Solanum lycopersicum: one gene and its partners. The protein of the gene in region 3 binds, or shares a complex with, the protein of the main gene of each other region. Links are inferred from orthologs where the notes say so. Each region holds a gene or a part of one and is shown on either strand. Other genes may lie near its edges. The genes, in order: actin-related protein 2/3 complex subunit 3, actin-related protein 2 and actin-related protein 2/3 complex subunit 2A.

Evidence for each region.
Region 1: actin-related protein 2/3 complex subunit 2A (region 3) and actin-related protein 2/3 complex subunit 3 share a complex: the UniProt entries of both Arabidopsis thaliana proteins name them as parts of the arp2/3 complex. The link is inferred for Solanum lycopersicum from reciprocal best matches to the Arabidopsis thaliana genes DIS2 and ARPC3.
Region 2: actin-related protein 2/3 complex subunit 2A (region 3) and actin-related protein 2 share a complex: the UniProt entries of both Arabidopsis thaliana proteins name them as parts of the arp2/3 complex. The link is inferred for Solanum lycopersicum from reciprocal best matches to the Arabidopsis thaliana genes DIS2 and ARP2.

The regions. Positions count from the first base shown.
Region 1 is NC_090806.1:3,893,581-3,900,043, reverse strand, and holds the start of actin-related protein 2/3 complex subunit 3, read right to left. Parts: upstream 4,156-6,463; 5' UTR 3,980-4,155; intron 3,144-3,979; 5' UTR 3,067-3,143; coding exon 3,064-3,066; intron 1,779-3,063; coding exon 1,670-1,778; intron 1,592-1,669; coding exon 1,322-1,591; intron 1-1,321. UniProt on the Arabidopsis thaliana protein: Functions as a component of the Arp2/3 complex which is involved in regulation of actin polymerization and together with an activating nucleation-promoting factor (NPF) mediates the formation of branched actin networks.
Region 2 is NC_090801.1:71,232,237-71,237,625, reverse strand, and holds part of actin-related protein 2, read right to left. Parts: intron 5,370-5,389; coding exon 5,235-5,369; intron 5,094-5,234; coding exon 5,022-5,093; intron 4,927-5,021; coding exon 4,848-4,926; intron 2,996-4,847; coding exon 2,946-2,995; intron 2,638-2,945; coding exon 2,534-2,637; intron 2,431-2,533; coding exon 2,362-2,430; intron 2,289-2,361; coding exon 2,225-2,288; intron 2,039-2,224; coding exon 1,970-2,038; intron 1,377-1,969; coding exon 1,293-1,376; intron 1,207-1,292; coding exon 1,148-1,206; intron 276-1,147; coding exon 209-275; intron 1-208. UniProt on the Arabidopsis thaliana protein: Functions as ATP-binding component of the Arp2/3 complex which is involved in regulation of actin polymerization and together with an activating nucleation-promoting factor (NPF) mediates the formation of branched actin networks.
Region 3 is NC_090810.1:58,673,516-58,679,960, reverse strand, and holds the start of actin-related protein 2/3 complex subunit 2A, read right to left. Parts: upstream 4,057-6,445; 5' UTR 3,820-4,056; coding exon 3,758-3,819; intron 2,608-3,757; exon of another isoform or gene 2,558-2,607; coding exon of another isoform or gene 2,532-2,557; intron 2,143-2,531; coding exon 2,076-2,142; intron 1,878-2,075; coding exon 1,670-1,877; intron 8-1,669; coding exon 1-7. Other genes in the region: germin-like protein 9-3, read right to left, coding at 4,679-5,299; putative germin-like protein 9-2, read left to right, coding at 5,951-6,444. UniProt on the Arabidopsis thaliana protein: Functions as actin-binding component of the Arp2/3 complex which is involved in regulation of actin polymerization and together with an activating nucleation-promoting factor (NPF) mediates the formation of branched actin networks.

The DNA of each region.
Region 1 (6,463 bases), on a different chromosome or scaffold from region 3:
AAGCAGGAATTCATTTTCTAGGCCAACACACAACAACTCTTTCCTCCCGTCATATTCCTCCAAAATAACGATTGTTCATATTATTTTGGACAATTTGAGGCCATAGGAGGTGATTGAAAAAATTGGACACAGATGTATGGAACAACACAGGGGATCTCAAAATTGTTGGCCGCAATTTTCTGTCAGACTGCTAATGATCAGCTCAAGATGACAACTACCATCTGTTTCCTCAGATTACAATGGCTAATGGCAGTATGTTTCAGTCAGGTGTTCCTTCTTTTTTCCAAAAGAAGCCATTGAGGGGCTCAGAGTTGACACTAACAAACATATATAGATTTTCCTAATTGTGCCAAAGTACTTTCAAAATGTCACAGTTGACAAGCTTTGACCAACACTACTACACAGTTTCTGTAATGATAATCCAATATTACTTTTATAACAGAATACAATTTTATTAGACAACACCCAAGGGAACTCGATCTATATACAAAGCATACAAAAAACCCATCATTTTTTATCTTTTCATCCAACTTCTACTGACCATCCTACCATGAAGAACAGAGACGTCCGTCCATACACGGTCATAACTCTCAAGTAGTGGTTGTACAAAAACTAACAAATCCTTCATCCATCAGAAAATGGAACCTTCTGAGAGATTTTGAGAGTTCAGATGAGAGGGATTTAAAATTGTAAATGGTTTAGGAGAAGATTGATAGTCGAGAAAAACACAAGGCATTACTGAGTATTTTGCAATTCAAGGCTGCACAACTTAGGAAAAAGAGCACAATGGATTAAAATAAATTGCAGTTTTAACAGTGTCTGGATATCCATTACTCGGCAAAAGTGATAAAGCACATCATTTCAGTCAAAGATAATGGAGTTCACAGAAGTCTTCTGATTTGCACTTCCCTTTTTTTGGAAATTGGCATCTGGAAGTTTTCATACTATCAACCCACATTGACTCATCCCAATCTTTAAGAAAAAGATTGTTGATCCCAACTTCTATTACCCTACTAAGAAAGTCTTCCAGTTCATATAATCTTTCTCCACTTAGAACCAAATGCAATGTTGTAACATGTCAAAAAGGTTTCAAGCCATACAAATGTAGCGTACATGAAAATTCCAGAAGAATTAGATTGGCACAATTAGACTAGGATATCATCATCTGAATAACTATGAGATGTGAATTTGTTTGTTTTCATTTTAGAATCTCAAAGGAAAAAAATTAAAGCAAACAGCAAACTCAAAATTAACCAAAATCATTTATTGGTGGTTTATTCACATATAAAAAGAAGGTTGCTTCGTTCAAATAACAACTTACCTGCTTCTTTTTTAGATTGGGCTGGAGAAAATAAGCTTGGGAATGGGAAACCTGCCTCTCCAGGTACAGGAACATTTTCCAGACCTAGGTTGATGATAGCCTTGGTTCCTTCAGCTAAAGTTCGGCAGCCTTCAAGCCTCTTTAAGGCTATATTGATATACAATGTCAAATAGATAAGTAGCTTGTCAGATGAGCTTTTAATATCAAAGTTTTTGAAGAAGACATTTGCTCGGAAGAATGTGATTGCTTCATCAACAATATCGGTTGTATCTGCTCAAAAATAAGATCAGCATCACCATAATAATGTGGAGACATTCTCTTAATAAGGAAAAGACTCGTAAGACTAACCTTGTTCTGAAACTGGAGCAGGTCCCCTTATATGGCTTTTCAGAGGTAACAAAGGACATCCACAAGCTTTACTAATTCCTTCCTCATCAACGAAACTGGAATGATAAACCTGCAATTGAATCAAAATCAGGTTTCAGCACTCAATGGGACAAGTTGTTATGGGTTTAAACACCCTATAAAACAAAAATAATAGAGTGAATAAAATAGAAAGGACAAATTCATTAGAGTTGAATACAGAAAATTCATCGCCAAGAAAAATAGAGTCCTCAAACAACCCCGGATAGCAGATGCACATTAGGGAAGAGATCCTGAACGATCATAAGGACCATCAGGCGCTCCAAGACCAAGAGCATCCAAGGATTACACATCAAGAAGTTACAGATCTCTAAGAGATAATCAGAAGATGCTTGGAGAGCATGGCGAAGATTCGAGCAAAGCATATCATGTTTGAGAGTTCAAGGAGTGCTTGGAAGTGGCTGAAAAAAAAACTTGCTGGAAAGTAAAGTCCAGCACACGGCTAAGGCATTGGGTGTGGACAGAAGGAGCTAAGGCTGGACGCCTTGCACCGAAACACAAACACCAAAAGTTAAGCGGGCTGGAAATTACGACTCAGTGCAGCGGGCTGAACTTGAGGAATCGGTCATGTGTGACACACTGGTCTTACAAATTGGGAGGCTTTTCAGTTAGTGTAATTTATTCTTTTCTCAAACATAGGTAATATAATCTGCACATAAGGTTAAACTCGTTTTTAGAGAGGTTTTGATATAATTTTGAGATTGATATCTTTCTGAGGCTCAAACAGTCTTTGTCCGGACTGAATTTCAAAATTCTTTCAAGCTTGAACCTTGGTGGTAATTCTTTTTACTTCTAAATCTTTATATTTTTGGTTCTTTCTTTTCTGTTCTTCAGTTTTGGTTGGAATTTCTATCATGTTATTTCCATTAATCAGTGTGTAAGATACCGTACTGCATGCATGTATCCAAATCATATCTAAGTCCCCTACTCTAAATCAGTTACTGTCTTGTTTATCACCATTAGACTATATATAGACTTCTTGAAGTGAGTACAGATCAAAGAAAGACCACAATCCATCCCATATTGCCAATAACAGATCCTCATTGCCAAGATGTTTTAAAAACAGAATACAACATTTGTCATTTATTTATTCCTCTTTGAAGAAACCAAAGTGTAACTCAAAATAGTGGAATGAACACATGAAATGTAAGCCATGTAGCTCATTTAGTGCACCAAACCAGGAAAAGGGCCAAGTCGATCACCAAAGGAAAAGAAACAGCATGGTTTTCATCATGCGTGGAAGTTATCACACTATCAACTCAGAGAGATAATTGTCACCAAAGTAATGAAATATGTAAGCAAAAAAATGCTTTCTTTACCATTTTCCTTGCTGAAAATTTTGCTTCTTAGCACCAGAAGGCAATGTATAATTTCGAACCAAAGAGGCTATAACACCAATCTGCAGATGCACTCATCAAGTATCAGATAACTAAGATTAATTAGAACACAACTAACATGACTCCAATATAAGAGGACGTGCATCAAAATTTACGATTACTTCATCTACATCAGATAACTAGCTATGCATCTAAGTAATATTCAGGTAATCTTCCATATAGTCCAACATCTTCCGTCCTCTCTCCCCTTGTTCCTTTTTTATTTCCAGATCATCTATGCACTTTCATTCCCAACCATTCTATTCGTATCTTTTTAATTTGCGCTACTATAGAATTATCCATTAAACACAGGCAGAGCTACAGCTTCGACCAAAACCAGTAGGTTCGGCTCAAATCTTGTATTTGCGTTTAAGAATCCACCTAATATGCATAAATAAGTTATCAATAACTTAGTAAACACCGTTTTCTAGAATCCATACACTCAAATTCCTAGCTCACCCTTGATTAAACATGGTTTAGCAAATCATGTAAGTTATCTTACATTTCCCATAACATCAACTATAATGCCAGTTTTTCCCTCTTTAGTTACACATCAAAAAGTTCCCTATATCGCCATAAAAACACAAATATAGCATCTCATTTCCAATTTTAAGTTTTTTTTCAATCCGAATTCTATAAGCAAGATCTCCGACCTAGCTATTTCCCCTAATTCCCAAGCGAATTATATTAACTGAATTACGATATCAATTAAACAGTTTAAAGCATTTTGGAAAAAGCAATTATAATCACAGTAGTAACAATCACGGCAACAGTTTCAACAACAAAAACGCAATATGTTAAACATATGATAATAAGAGTAGATACGAAAAGATATGCAACAGATCGTAATTTTACGTACTGGATTTCCGAGAAGAGATAGTTAATTTCACCGGCGAGAGATGTTGAGATCGACAGGGATGGGTGATATTTTCCGGCGAAGATCAAAGAAGAAGTGAAGAGAGAATCGGGTATAAACGGTGATGGTAGTTGAAGATGGGCTTAACGATCAACTATTATTGGGCTCAATGTTTATGGGCCTCTTCTTAACCAATTTGAAGTTTAGTAAAATAGTACGATAATTGAGGTATAAGAAATAACGAGCGATAAAAGAAATTGAAGGACGAGAAACTATATGAGTAATGCTAGGACTACTAGTGTGGACGTATAGCAAGACGACACACACTACTGCCTACTAACTTCTTTAGCCTAATACGTGCCTTTCAAAACCTTATATCTAAAGTCGTATCCTTATTAAGTCGAAAATGTGTCATGTTCTATCTAATTACCTCTCTCCAAATACTTCTTCGACCTATCTCTACCTTTTCGAGGCCGCCCATTATCAACCTCTCACACCTTCATATTGGGACATTCGTGCAGCTCCTCTTTACATACATTAGCCTTGCTTTCTACATCTTGTCCTTCATCAAAATCACTCTCATGCACCTTGTCTCCGAATATCCTCGTTTCTAATCATGTCTTATTATTATTCCCACACATTCATCGCAAACATTTCATCTCCGTAGCTTTCATATTTTGAACATGAAAGTTCTTGACTAATCGACACTCTATCTCATACTATACGGTAGGTTTAACCATCACTTTTTGTCAAACTTGCCTAGCATTTTTTTCTTTCCTTATACTTTATGTCACGAATATACAGGTATCATATTGTTAAACAACGTAAATATATATGTATAATTTTTTTTTAATCAAGAAATATATCCATTTCAAATCACAAACTTAACGTTATATTTGCGCCTTTTCCATAAAGTATATATGATTTTTAAGGAGTCTAGATTTAATAATAGACTAATTGAAATACCCTACTTTATAATTCACCAATAATAATGATGACTACCTAATTTCTAAAAGGGGAATAATTCTAGGAATAATGCTATTCTATGAAAACTTTTGATAATGACATTGTTTTGAAAAAATTATTTCTCTACTTTTTCTTTTTTTTTAAAATTTGTGGTCTTCATTGTTCTAACTCTTAATCTTAAGAATAATCCATCACAAAATTCTCTAATTTCAATCAGTTCAACTTGCAATAATTTTGGGGCTTAGCTTTTTTCTAATTACTTTAGTTGATTTTGAATTGAAATATTGATATATTAACAAATTTAACATTCTTTTTTTTCTAGTAAAATTCAATATTTCAAAGGGAGAGTGTGGAAAGGGAATCTGTGCTAATGTTAACGTCAAAGTTATATAATTGAATTCAAATTAATAAGTTAAATATACCAGCTGTCTGGAATAAGTTTTTATGTATATTTAAATTAAAATTCTATTCGTAAATATAATGATATAAATCTATTTTGATTGTGACATTTATTGACTAAACATTGTAAATTTCACAAATTAATGTGAAGTAGTTGTGTATTAAAAAAAAACTTTAGGTCAAAATCAACATTATCTAAAAAATCTAATATAATTCTTTATTTATTGATAGTGAAATCCATTTTTTGAAAATATCTCATGTATAAAATTCAATCACTTGTGGTCCACAAAGCCAACATTTTCTCATCTTATTTATTGTCTTTATGATTTGTTAATCATCCAACAATAAAAATAACACTAATTTTAATTTATTTCTCGTTCAATATCAAATATCTGATTTTTAAATTTATATTAAATAAAATTTATTGAAGGAGGAAATATTTTTTCTACTAGAATTTTTTTTTTAATTCTAAAATTTAAACAAGAGACTTCTGATTAAATCTCGAATTTCGTCATTAATTTTGCATAAATATATTGAAAATGACTTATTAGTTAAAAAAAAGTCCAATCTATTTGATAATTTAATAACATTTAAGCTACCTTGGTCCCTCCACGTGGCACCACCACATGTGCCAGACAAGGACATATAAAGATTTTTCTCACATTACTAAATTATAATTATGTATATATTATATTTAATTGCCATTTGAATTGGAGTATTTTTCAATTTGAATTTCTTTCAAGTAAAAAAAAAAATTAATTAATATGCAATTTGTTTTCAATAATTATATGTATAAAATTAGTAGAGTCCCACCAACAAAACTTAATCCCCACAACACAACCAAAAAAAAAAAAAAAACACTTCAAAGTTATTGCAATGTCACTAAGGAAACTTCAAAATTTGTGTTTTGAGTGAGCAAAAGGAAAATTCCTTTCCTAGTACCAAAAGGAAACTTCAAAAGTTAGTCAGATCAGACACGTTTGATATTTATATTAAAGACTTGATTAACTTAAATGTGCTCTTATAAAGCCTCGATTGCTTGAGCAAGGAAAAATCATTTCCAAAAAGTCAAAGAAAACTCCCACATTCAATTCAGACCTCCACTCGTGTTGAATTGTCTTA
Region 2 (5,389 bases), on a different chromosome or scaffold from region 3:
ACTACTTTCTTATCTCCATCTCTTGATTGACTTGACCTCATATAGAGCCGAAATCACCATAAGCTGCAGCTACCAGTGAGATTGAGGTATTTTATTGTGGTTTGTGGGTAAGACTATTTGAATAAATGCAACTTAGTTGCATAAACCTTATTCATAAACCAAAAACCTCAAGAAATTGTGAAAAGAACAAATAAGAGTCACACAGTACCTTCAAACCATCTTTGTTCCCCTTCAGAACAACATCAAGATAGCGGTCCAAAATTTCTTTCTCAAGGCTGTCAATGTTTAAAAAGAAGGGAAAATAGCTGTTATTAAAGGAAACAAGAATATGATGAGTGTGGTCATGAGGTGGGTAAGAAAGAGTTTCGTTCCTTATATTCCCACAGTAAACCAAAAGAAATGTTAACTGCAAAAGTAAAGTTCAAAGGAATAAATCACAAAGAGATGAAAGTCCTTCTTGATGACAGCTCACGGATATTCTTAACAGAAATTCTTCATGCATTAAAGTGTATACCTAAATTTCCTAATATAGCACATTTCTAAACAATACTCATATCCTCTCGAATAGAATTTCATACTCTAATTTATGATACGTAACAAGATGAGAGTTAAAATAGTATGTAGTGAAAATGAATATATATTTCACGTTGATTTGCATTTTTAGATATGCCTTCATGCATTTCATGGTCGTTATGATACTAACAATTTCAGAAGGGTACTTATGAGCAGGAGAAAAATAGAACAACTATGAGGAATAAGTCATCAGTCAGATATACCAAAGCTGACTGCTACCAGGAGGAGGGAATCAGCAAAATTTTGATACCGTAAGAGGAGAATCATAAAATTCAAAATCCACAGGGAGGTGAATTAGAGTTCTTCGCACAATAAAAGAGTGTTATCAAAGTTATAGCATAACAGTTTTACAGTTCAAATTTCTCTGCCAGATTGATTAAACATTAGTCCTGAGGAAAAAATAATTCAAGGATATACTTTGGTTCATAAACTCAAAGCAAACTGTCACACCCGTTAAAACTTCCTAGTCTGTATGACAATAATGTAGCATTTAGAATCAACCACGCACAATTGCACTACTCAGCTCCAAGTTCTCAAAGCTTTATAATAAGGAAGAGTATTTTGAGTAAGTTACCGACTAGGTAAGCCAGGATACATGGTACTTCCACCACTCAAAACAATATGCTGGTAGAGCTGCAAGTGAAAATTTAAACATATGATGGATGGCAAATGACAACACTATGGCAAAGAATACAGAAGAAATTTCAAAGTTGAAGTACCATCATCCTGTTGTCAATATCCATCTCCTGAATGCAGCGAAATACCATGTCAGCCATGCCATCACCTTCAACATCAATAAGATCCTGAAATGGACAGAAAAAGTGACACTTAGCTTCCTTCCACATACAGCAACCCATCAATAAATATATTGCAGAAGCGTGAAATAATATTTAAAATTCCTTGCACATACATCAACCCTTCAATTAGAATTTTGGAGAAACGTGGAATAATATTTCAATTTAGCTTTCTTTCACATACATCAACCCATAAAGTAGAAGTTTGGAGAAGCATATAATAGCATTTCAAACAATGCAGTTCAAAGTTCAAACAATGTGTTCTTGCTTCAATTTTTTCACAAGGACTTAATTGACACTTCATCTGAAACAAATTGGTTCAAAGATAACACTCTATTGCTTTGCTATTGAATAGTTGAGAGGTAAAAGAACTACCAAATTTAAAAAGCTGTACGACAAAAGATGGTCATGGTATTAGATAACAAGTGTCACATTGACATTTGGTGTTACATGGGATTTGCAGGATTAGATTGCTTTATGGGAATACATCAATTGCCTTTCATCTTTACCACTACGAGGAAAGCAAATCTGGTGCATTTTTATGTAAAAGGTATGTTCTTGATTTGTGAAAGAGGAAAATAAAAATGGGAATGCATGCTCACTGGAGTAAAAAGAGCCTCAGGTGCCTGGAACCTCTCTGTGCCAACTTTAAGTACCCTCCCATCTGGAAGCTGTTGAAAAACAAGTGAAATAATGAGTTACAGATGACCAAGTTTCTTATGGGAGAAAAAAGGATCTTTGCTTCCAAGAGCAAAGTACCATACCTAATTGCAGTTCAAGGTAGTAGAAAAGCTTAAAGAATAGTAGTGCCTTTGTTTTTTCCAATTAAAAGCTTATTATGGATGGAGCCTACTCACAGTATAATTCTTAACAAGAATTGTCGTTTCAAGCCCCAACTGATACTCTCTCTTGTAATCATAACTGCAGTAAAGAAAATATCATTACTCGCCAGAAGAATTAGTAAAGGGATTAATTTACAACGCAAGTAATTCACCTAATGTAGCAGAGCTTTTCTTTAATATCCCTGACAGTCTCAAAATCGGCACTTCTATTCATTGCATACCTTCAGATATGACTGACCATCAAAACTCCAGTAATGGTTTAAAATAATCAAATTAGCATGAATGACCCTATTTAGTTTATTTCAAACATATGTTGGCAATTACCCTCTCCGAAGTAGCAGATCAACCATATAAGACGTTATATGCCGTCCAGCTACATTCATTCTTTTCGTGAGGTGAGGAAATGAGTATCCATCTACAACAGGAACCTGCACCAACATATTTCTGAATAACATACAGAAGAAAAAATATCCCCACGGTTCATAGCAAGTATTACCATGTGCCACCAAAAGAACAGAGAGCTGAAAAAACACTGCCTTTATGACCAGCTTGAAGGAGCAATCTTATTAGACAGGGAGCCCAATGGACTATGCAGGAAAAAAGTTCTAGTTTTGGGAGTAGCAACTCCTAGTTTGATTACCTCAAACTTTATGAGAATTAACCTTCTCTTTTGAATCAATGTTGAACCGAGACAAACTATAGATCATGAAACAGCTATGCTTATGGAAAAACTTACAACATGTGTAACTCCATCACCTGAGTCGATGACAAGCCCAGTCAACAAACCTGCATATTGGAACATAAAAAATGAGCAAATCCATCATCAGATAGGGCCCAAGTAGAAGCAAAATATGACTTAGCCCCACCCTTGTAACAAATACCCGCTACAAAATTGCAATATCAAGACTTATGATGGTCCTTCTCGCAACAACAACATACCCAGTGTAATCCTCCCACCAAGTGGGGTTTGAGGGTAGAGTGTACGCAAACCTTACCCATAGATTTAGAGAGGTTGTTCCCGTTAGACCCTCAGCTTAAATAAGCATGCCAAACAGTTTGAAAAAAGGGGATACAAATATGAGAGCAATAACTACAATGAAATAATGCGAAACGGAGAGCATTACACAACAAAGTGCAGAAAGAACAGTAACGATGATGAAGTAATGCAATATTCTGAGCACAAACTAAATCCAAGAACAAGAAACTACGAGAATAGTGCTAATATTACTGGTAAGAAGGAAGGTCCAAGTATTACCACCAACCGTATCTATTGAGAATAATAGTAGTTAGCATAAAATTATTTAATTTGCACATTAGTTAGTTAGTTAAACATTTTACATTCCATTAGTTAGTTAAGTAGTTAGTTAGTGGAGAGAGAGTTAACAGCTGGCTTAACAGCCATGATAGCTGGCTAACACACTTGTATATATGTATGGATTCATTCTCATTTTACAGTTTAACAGAATATAGAGAAAATTTTCCCAATTAATTCTCTCACTAAAATTTTCATGTATCAGAGCTGTGAATCCACAAGATTCAGATTCACAATCAATTCAATTTGAAGACTTCGAAGCATCCATTGAGTGAGTTCAAAGAAGATGATATTGACATCAGAGGATAGTGCAGCAGCTACAGTTTCAGGAGTTTCAGCTGATACTCTTGATGGAATTGAGAAAAATCGAAATCATCCACTATATCTTCATCCCTCTGAAACTCCTGGGAGTGTATTGACATCAGTACAACTCACAGGGGCTGAAAATTACTCATTGTGGAGCAGATCGTTAATGATTAACCTTCGTGCTAAGAGCAAGCTGGGATTCGTACTTGGAACTTGTCGCAAATCTGATCACAAACCTGAATTGGAGGAGCAATGGGAGAAATGCAACGCATTCGCGTTAGTATGGATCATGAACACGGTGCCTAAAGAGTTATTGTGTGGAATCGTATATGCATCAGATGCAACAATGGTTTGGGAAGATTTGAATGAGCCCTTCAACAAGGTTGATGGATCTAGAAGCTATCAGCTTCATCGTGAAATTAGTACAATTAGTCAAGGTAATTTGACAGTTTCTGGGTACTTTACTAAATTGCTACTTCTATGCAATGAGTTTGACGCACTTGTTCCGCCTACTGCTTGTAACTGTGATAAGTCCAAAGTGTATGTTGATCATCTGCAATTTCTGCGATAATTTGTTTCTTTGATGGGTTTGAATTAGGTGTACAGTCATGCGAGGAGTCAGATTTTAATGATGAATCCATTACCTAGTGTGAGTCGAACTTATGCTATGATAACATCTGATGAAAGTCAGCGTATGACAGCTGATTCCAAAATTAGTAGAGATATGCATGAATCTATGGCTCTATATGCAGGAAGGGGAAATAATCTAATGATGCATTCTGGAAAAGGAAAATTTGGTAGTTCTTCACAGGAATCTTTAGCTTTGTATGCTGGAAGAGGAGGCCACACAAATTATGCTAACTTCTATTGTTCTCAATACCGCAAGAAGCGAGAGAATGCGCAACTACCAAACTAACCTTCTACCCAAATCCGCCACCTCTAAACTCTCCTATCGAAGGTCCTTCTCACATATAATTGAAGATGATTATGCCCCAAGAACTCATACATGTATAATGGTACCTTGAGCATACAATGTTAGAACGGCTTGAATTTGGATGAAGACACCAGCAAAGTTGTACTTCTCGAACATGGTTTCTACCTGTAATTCAAGTAAATCAGAGTATAAGTTAAGAATCATTGAAGCAGTAAAGAGAGAGAATGCTTTTCTCGAAAAAGTAAGACATTAACACAAACCATCATTTCACGATTTTTAGATGGATTGAGAGGTGGATCTGTCAGGAGAATTTTGCATTCTGTTGGATCTATCTTCACAAGCAGAATGAAAGGAAAGTTTAGTTAGTTAACCATGAACTTATCATACAATAAGCATTTCAAAGAAAAATTAGCAAGCAAAAGTTTAAACCAATCAGAAATCTTCACAGGGAAGTTAGCAGTAGAAAAATCTACCTTCAGTTCGTTGAAAAATGCATGGTCCCACACATTCCCCATATCATCCCAGTTTTGTACAATTCCATTGTTGACGGGATAAGATAAATCCAACTGATGGCGCAACTTCAAGCATTCATCTCCCACAATAATATCCTAGAGGAAGAATGTAATGA
Region 3 (6,445 bases):
TTTTGCTCTACAATCAGAAAGAAATATCATAAGCAATGTATATTACAGGATTGTAACAGAAACTTTCAGCAAAAATAGACAATCACCCAGGTTCAGAAGTATCAAAGATTTTCTGAAAATTAGTACTCTCATAGAACTGTTCACAAATTTAAAACTGAAATAATAAGTATACGAACTCATAAAGAAAGTGTAATGCTACATATTGACTTGTACTACAATCCCAAGTTTGCACTTAGGAGCTCGAATCCGACCAGCTAAAAGATCAACAGCCAAGCTGAAATTACGTTGGATTGTGAGGAGGGATGTGCTGAAAGTAGAAATATGGTTTTTTATTTTACGCACCAGCAACATCCAGGAGGATATTTTCCTCCTGGATTTGGTGGATACCTCATAATACCACCAGCAGTACAGATATGGTTATTCTTAGGTAATGTCAAATACTTTATAAGAATAAGAGTAGGGGCAATGAGACTTTTAGTGGTGCAATATTCAAGAAGTTGTAAATAGTTAAGCTATATAGTTCTCCATTACGGAAAATGGACTCAATGGACTGAAAGGAAACACATGGAGGAAGTATATTACAAAAAGCTTTAACCTAAGGTGCATCCAAACATATAACACAGATCAAAGGTGAACCATGGCACACAGAGTTAAATTTGGCAGGGGCTTTTTATTCTTTATTCCAAAGGGAGTTATTCCCCTGCTTGTATACTTTTTTGCGTTCATTGAGTACCTCTGATTGTTTTGTGCTTACGTCTCTCCTTTGAGTACAAAATTTGTTCTTGGGGAACAAATGTTCTAAAGCCACCAATTGAAGATCAAGTCAAAAAAATTCTGGAGTACAAGACAACAAGACTGGGATTCAAAGGAAAATGGATAAGTTTGATTCACCATTGCTAGCCACAGTTGAACTTTCTTTCTGGATAATGTGAACCAACTGGCTCTTTAATTTAATCCCTATACTCAACATTCAGATGACTTTGCCCTTTCCTTTTGGGCAACACATGGTTGCCAACTTTTACACATGAATAGGTGATTTTTGTAGAGAAAAACTCTAGCTTGTTTAATTGTTTCCTGTTACAGATCTTTCATCGGACTTGCATCCTTTTGTTAAGAGATAACTTACTGAACTATGATATTCAAGAACAGAAATTCAGAAGCTTGGAGGCCCAACTTCGAGCCAACAGTGAATGCTGCATACTAGTATAACATACAGTTATATCTTTTTTTCCTTGAAATATTTTGCCACTACTCAGACAATAAATTGTACTCTTCGTAGCTAGAAGAACGAGTGAAAAATTGACAATTTCCCTTTTAGTTTTAGGAATAATGAAAACATGCACATAACAAAAAAAAAAAAAAAACTCCAAGAGAAAGGAAACACTGAAATTTTCAACTGAATAGAAACTGAGAAGAATGAAACCCTTTTTTCATGTGTGTGTGCTGAACGTGTGCTTATTAATGAGTGTTCTCAACTTATATTAAAAAGAATTTGCTAAAATAGACATGCAACATGAAGCGGATGCGATCACATTTATTTCTTGATTACCCTTAGGAGAGTAAGAACCCCCCAAACTTTTCTAGTAATGCAGTTTGGACTAACATCCTAATACCATCCAGCACAACTATAGCAAGCTCATAATGACCTTAAAGAGGAAACTTGCAGAACCTTCATCTGGGGGAAGTTTTGACAAGTTTAGTTTAAGTGTGAGATTAAACCCATCTCTTGGAGGATCAAGAATTTGTGCAACTGCACCATATGCTGCTTTTATGGCTTCTAGCGCTCCAAGTGGAAGTCCACCAAAGAGGACGGTTTCTGGAGGTGGTATGGGCAATGATACAGAAAGAAGCAAGACATTTGGATTTTTCACTGAACCCTGCAGAATATGTTACAGATTAGCCAGCCAGATGTATCATAGATGACAGCATGTCAAAATAAGATATGACCATCTCAATTAACATTTTTAAAATAATGATGTGTTTAGTGGTTCTTCCATTTTTCTTTTGAAGTGAAAAAATTGGTTAAAAAATAAAGCAAAATCATCAAATTGGACTGTTGTATGATAATAACTCACCTGAATATGGTAACGGATATCATCAAATTCAACCCATTGGCTGTCCAGTTCAACCCCTTTCTCAAGACTGCAAAATAAGGATGTGCTGTCAGCATCTACTACAGATTATTCAAACAAATGACGGAATGGTATCGGTTCTATTTGCAATACAGGGCTGCCAAATTTTTGGAAGATTCAAGGATCAGAAAACTAGGTATGTCATATTTTAGAACTTTAAGCATACACCATTTGGTGAAAGAATAAGCTAAGAGCAATTGGACAAATAAAGGAACCGGAATGCTATATTGTTAACAGGGAGGGGTTCCCATGATAAATCACTAAATGGAAGTAAACAAATTAAAATGATCAATTTTAATATCACGGTAGCTAATGCTTGAACAATTAATCAAATTTTGAACATTTGTGACTTTATTGGCAGCACTTTTGGATTGATTAAGCTGATTCTACTTCAGTAACTGATAGTGTAGGCAGTTCATGTTCATCCTCTACTCCAGCTCCCTGGGATGCGAGGAAGTAAATGCAACTCTCCAAACTGTTATGCAAAAGGTAGAAAAAGTTGAAATACTTTTGCATTTTTTGGAAATGCACATTACAACATTATGGTTATTATTCACATAGTATTTCCGTGCTTCACTACATAGCGATCATCTAGAGCTTGCCAACTATTGGACATACTCATACAGAACATTCACCCATATACCCATGTATCACGGGTGTTAATGACTGAAAGATTACATCTTTACACTTCAATTAGAGCAACAACAAATGTTAATACCTAGCAACGCATCTTCGTACTCAAGCACAGAAATGAGTTGGAACTACACAGAAACATCAACTATACTAGCTGTAACTCAATCAACTAGAGCTTGCTAAATATCGGACATACTCATTCCAAACAAATCCATGTAATAGCACCCAGGGTGTGGCCTACTGATCAATGAAGTAGGTTGAGAACCATGAAATCTCATGTTCAATCCCAACAGAGACAAAAATACTTGGTGATTTCTTCCCATTTGTTCTAACCTTGGTGGATAAAGTTACCTATTAATTGTTGGTGGTGGGAAGTGGCGGATATCCCATGGAATTAGTCAAGGTGCGCGAGGAGTGGAACGTATCCCGTGGATTTAGTGGAGGTACACGAAAGCCGGTTCACACACCATGGTTATCGGGGAAAAAAAATCGCAACGTTATGCTTAAGAAAGTGCAACAACAAATGCTAATGCAGCAGAAGCATATAAACTCTTTCATATTCACAACCACGCACAGAAATAAGCTAGAACTATGCAAACATTAAACAATCTAGCTGCAATACAATCAGCTCCTATAAAAATAAACAATAATGCAATCCACACTTCCATAACCAGGCTTAATCTTATTAGCTCAGTTCATTAGCTGACTACCATAACTTTCACCAAGCTCTCGATTCCCACACTTTGTAATCCCTTTCCCTTCTCCTACCCTAACTTTCTTTTAAAATACTAAAAGATTGCAACTTTATGCTTATGCTAATCCCAGCAGATACATACAAGTACTTTTATATTCATAATCATACACAAAAATGAGCAAAAACTATGCAAACATCAATCAATAATGCAATCCAGACTACCCTAAACCACAAATTGACCCGAAAAAAGTGTTTAAAATAGGGAAAAGTGAAAAAAGTGAAATGGATTTAAGCTTACCTCTGGACGCGATTGTACAAGATCTGAAGAAGATATCTAGAGGGAGATTGCAGTAATATCATCGATCTCTTTCACAAAACAAATTCGCAGTTTGGGTTCTTTGAAAATCAAAGAAATTAGAAAGAAACAGAAAATCAAAGAATCTTGAATGGACAATTTGATGAAGTTTTGTTATTAAAAGTTTGATTTCTCTTTTGTCAATTTGTTCAAGTGGGAAAAGTTATGTAAGAATTATTGAATAAATCAAATCACTTTTTTGTTACAAACACCGGAACCTATTAATTTTATTCTCGAACTATTAATACTCTATTAACTTGACTAAAATATATTTCCTAAATTACGTCAAGTTTAATTATATTTTTGCTACTTCTCTCGACTTTCTATTAAGTTTGCGTCTGGACATGCGATATGAAATCAACTTTTGGACATGTCATTTCATATCATGAGATAAAATTCCGACTTATGTGAAAATCATGATTTGGAAATTTTCAAATACAAAAATTGACCCACAAATTTATATTTTGTAATGAAAACTCCATATATATATCTACTAATTATTTATTTGATAGGTAATTAATGTCAAATTATTTTATCTTCGTATATGTTTTAATCTCCATGATTTCTTTTTGTTATTTACTATTTTTTGTTTTGAAATTTCTAGCTCCGCACTGAATGAAAAAAAAAAAAAGAGAACTTTTTTTAAGTCTTCTAAATATATATAAGGTCAATTATGATTATACTTTGCATTTTGATGTCATGCCATATATAAAGTATAAACCTTCTTATTCAAGATTCTCTGAATATTAATTCTTTAGTCGGACTGTCTATAGACTTAAGTCGAATCATTCAAAAATACACTACTTTTAGTAAAAATATGAAAGCATCCGACAATATTTTTGAATAGTCCGAGCAACGTAGTTTTCAGGTTAGACCTGCCTTGATTTTCTGAATAGTAATGATATCAGTCTTAAAAGACTTGGCTAAAATGTTATCAGGAATGCTTGTATTGAACACAGAGTTAGGAACAGAAACAGTGCCTGCATTTGCACTTCCAAAGGCAGATATACCCCAAGCACAATTTTCAGCATCAGCATTGTATTGATAGTGTACTAGTCCTTTAGGGAACACGAAAACGTCTCCTGTTTGCAATGTTTGAGTGTAAATCTTGTTCGTGGTATCGATGAATCCTACTTCCAATGTCCCTGACATGAGGAAAAGTAGCTCGGCTGAACGTGGATGAGTGTGGACAGGGTTGACAGAGCCTGCAGGGTACTGTAGGATTGCATAGGAAACACTTTGTCCGTTCAGGGCTGGAAACTCCGTCATTGCTGCCTTTGTTACCTTGAATTTTTCGGGTGATGGAGCTCCAACGATGCCCCTTAGGCCTGAGAAGGTGAAGTAGGAAGCGTCAACTGATGGCACGCTCAGTGGCAGCACAAAGTCTGTTAGGATGTCAGGGTCACCAGCTGATGCCATTTGAAAAATGACTAGTGATGTTGCTAGAGCTAACAGAACTATGCAACTTGAAGTTTTTGATTCCATTTTTTCTCCTGTTTTCGTTTATTTGTTTGAATGATTTCTTGATGGACTAAAGATTTTATAGCTATACAAGGGACATATCAAACAAGAATCGAGATTGAAGTCCCCGATGATTCGCAAAAACAAAAATGAATTGTGAATATAGGAAACGGCTCCAGAAGTTTATTGTGTCAACTTAAGAAACAACACTTGCTCACCTCTTTCCAGTTCTGGCTTTCAATATGGACAAGAGAAAGCAGTTTACTTTTTCCCTTTAAAAATTGTTATGTTTTCGACTTCATGCACTTTGCTTACATTACAAGATCAAAGAGTCCATAAAAGTATTATCTTGAAGCATATAACTGATGAAACCTAAGGAATATTGAGATGATTTTCGAAATATGGAATCTTATAATGTGATTTCCAGGTAGTTTCTGCTATCAAAAACAAATAAGTATAATGTGTCAAGCTTAGTTAACATCTATTACCAACTGGCTTATCCTTCAGCAAAATTTGGTTCTGGTTTTGGTCTTTTTTATAAATTTGTGGTCTAACAGAACTAATAGTCATCATTTTACAACTTATTTGTATACATTTTACCTGTATCAACAAAAAATGGCCTCATTCCTCTTGAAAAGTGTCCTTGTTGTTGTAGCCGTCTTTTTCATTTCTTCGATGGCTCAAGCTAGTGATCCGGATATCTTGTCTGACTTCATTGTTCCTGCAGGAAGCACCATAGATGGGAACTTCTTTACCTTCACTGGTACTCGTGATATTTTTGGCAGCATCATTGAAAAGTTCAGTGTGACAAAAGTGAGCAAGGCAGAGTTTCCAGGTTTGGACGGCCAGAGTGTTTCGTTGGCAGTGCTTCAGTTCCCCGGAGGAGGTGTCAACCCGCCCCACACACACCCTCGTGCAGCTGAACTGTTATTCGTCGTTAAAGGTAGTCTTGAGGTTGGATTTGTGGACACCGCTAACAAGCTTTACACTCAGGCTCTCCAAGTTGGTGACTTGTTTGTGTTCCCTAAAGGACTAGTGCATTATCAGTACAATTCTGATTGGAATAAATCAGCTATAGCCGTGTCTGGTTTTGGCAGCACTAGTACTGGAACTGTGTCACTTCCTACAACATTGTTTGCTACTGGGATCGATGATCAAGTTCTCGCCAAG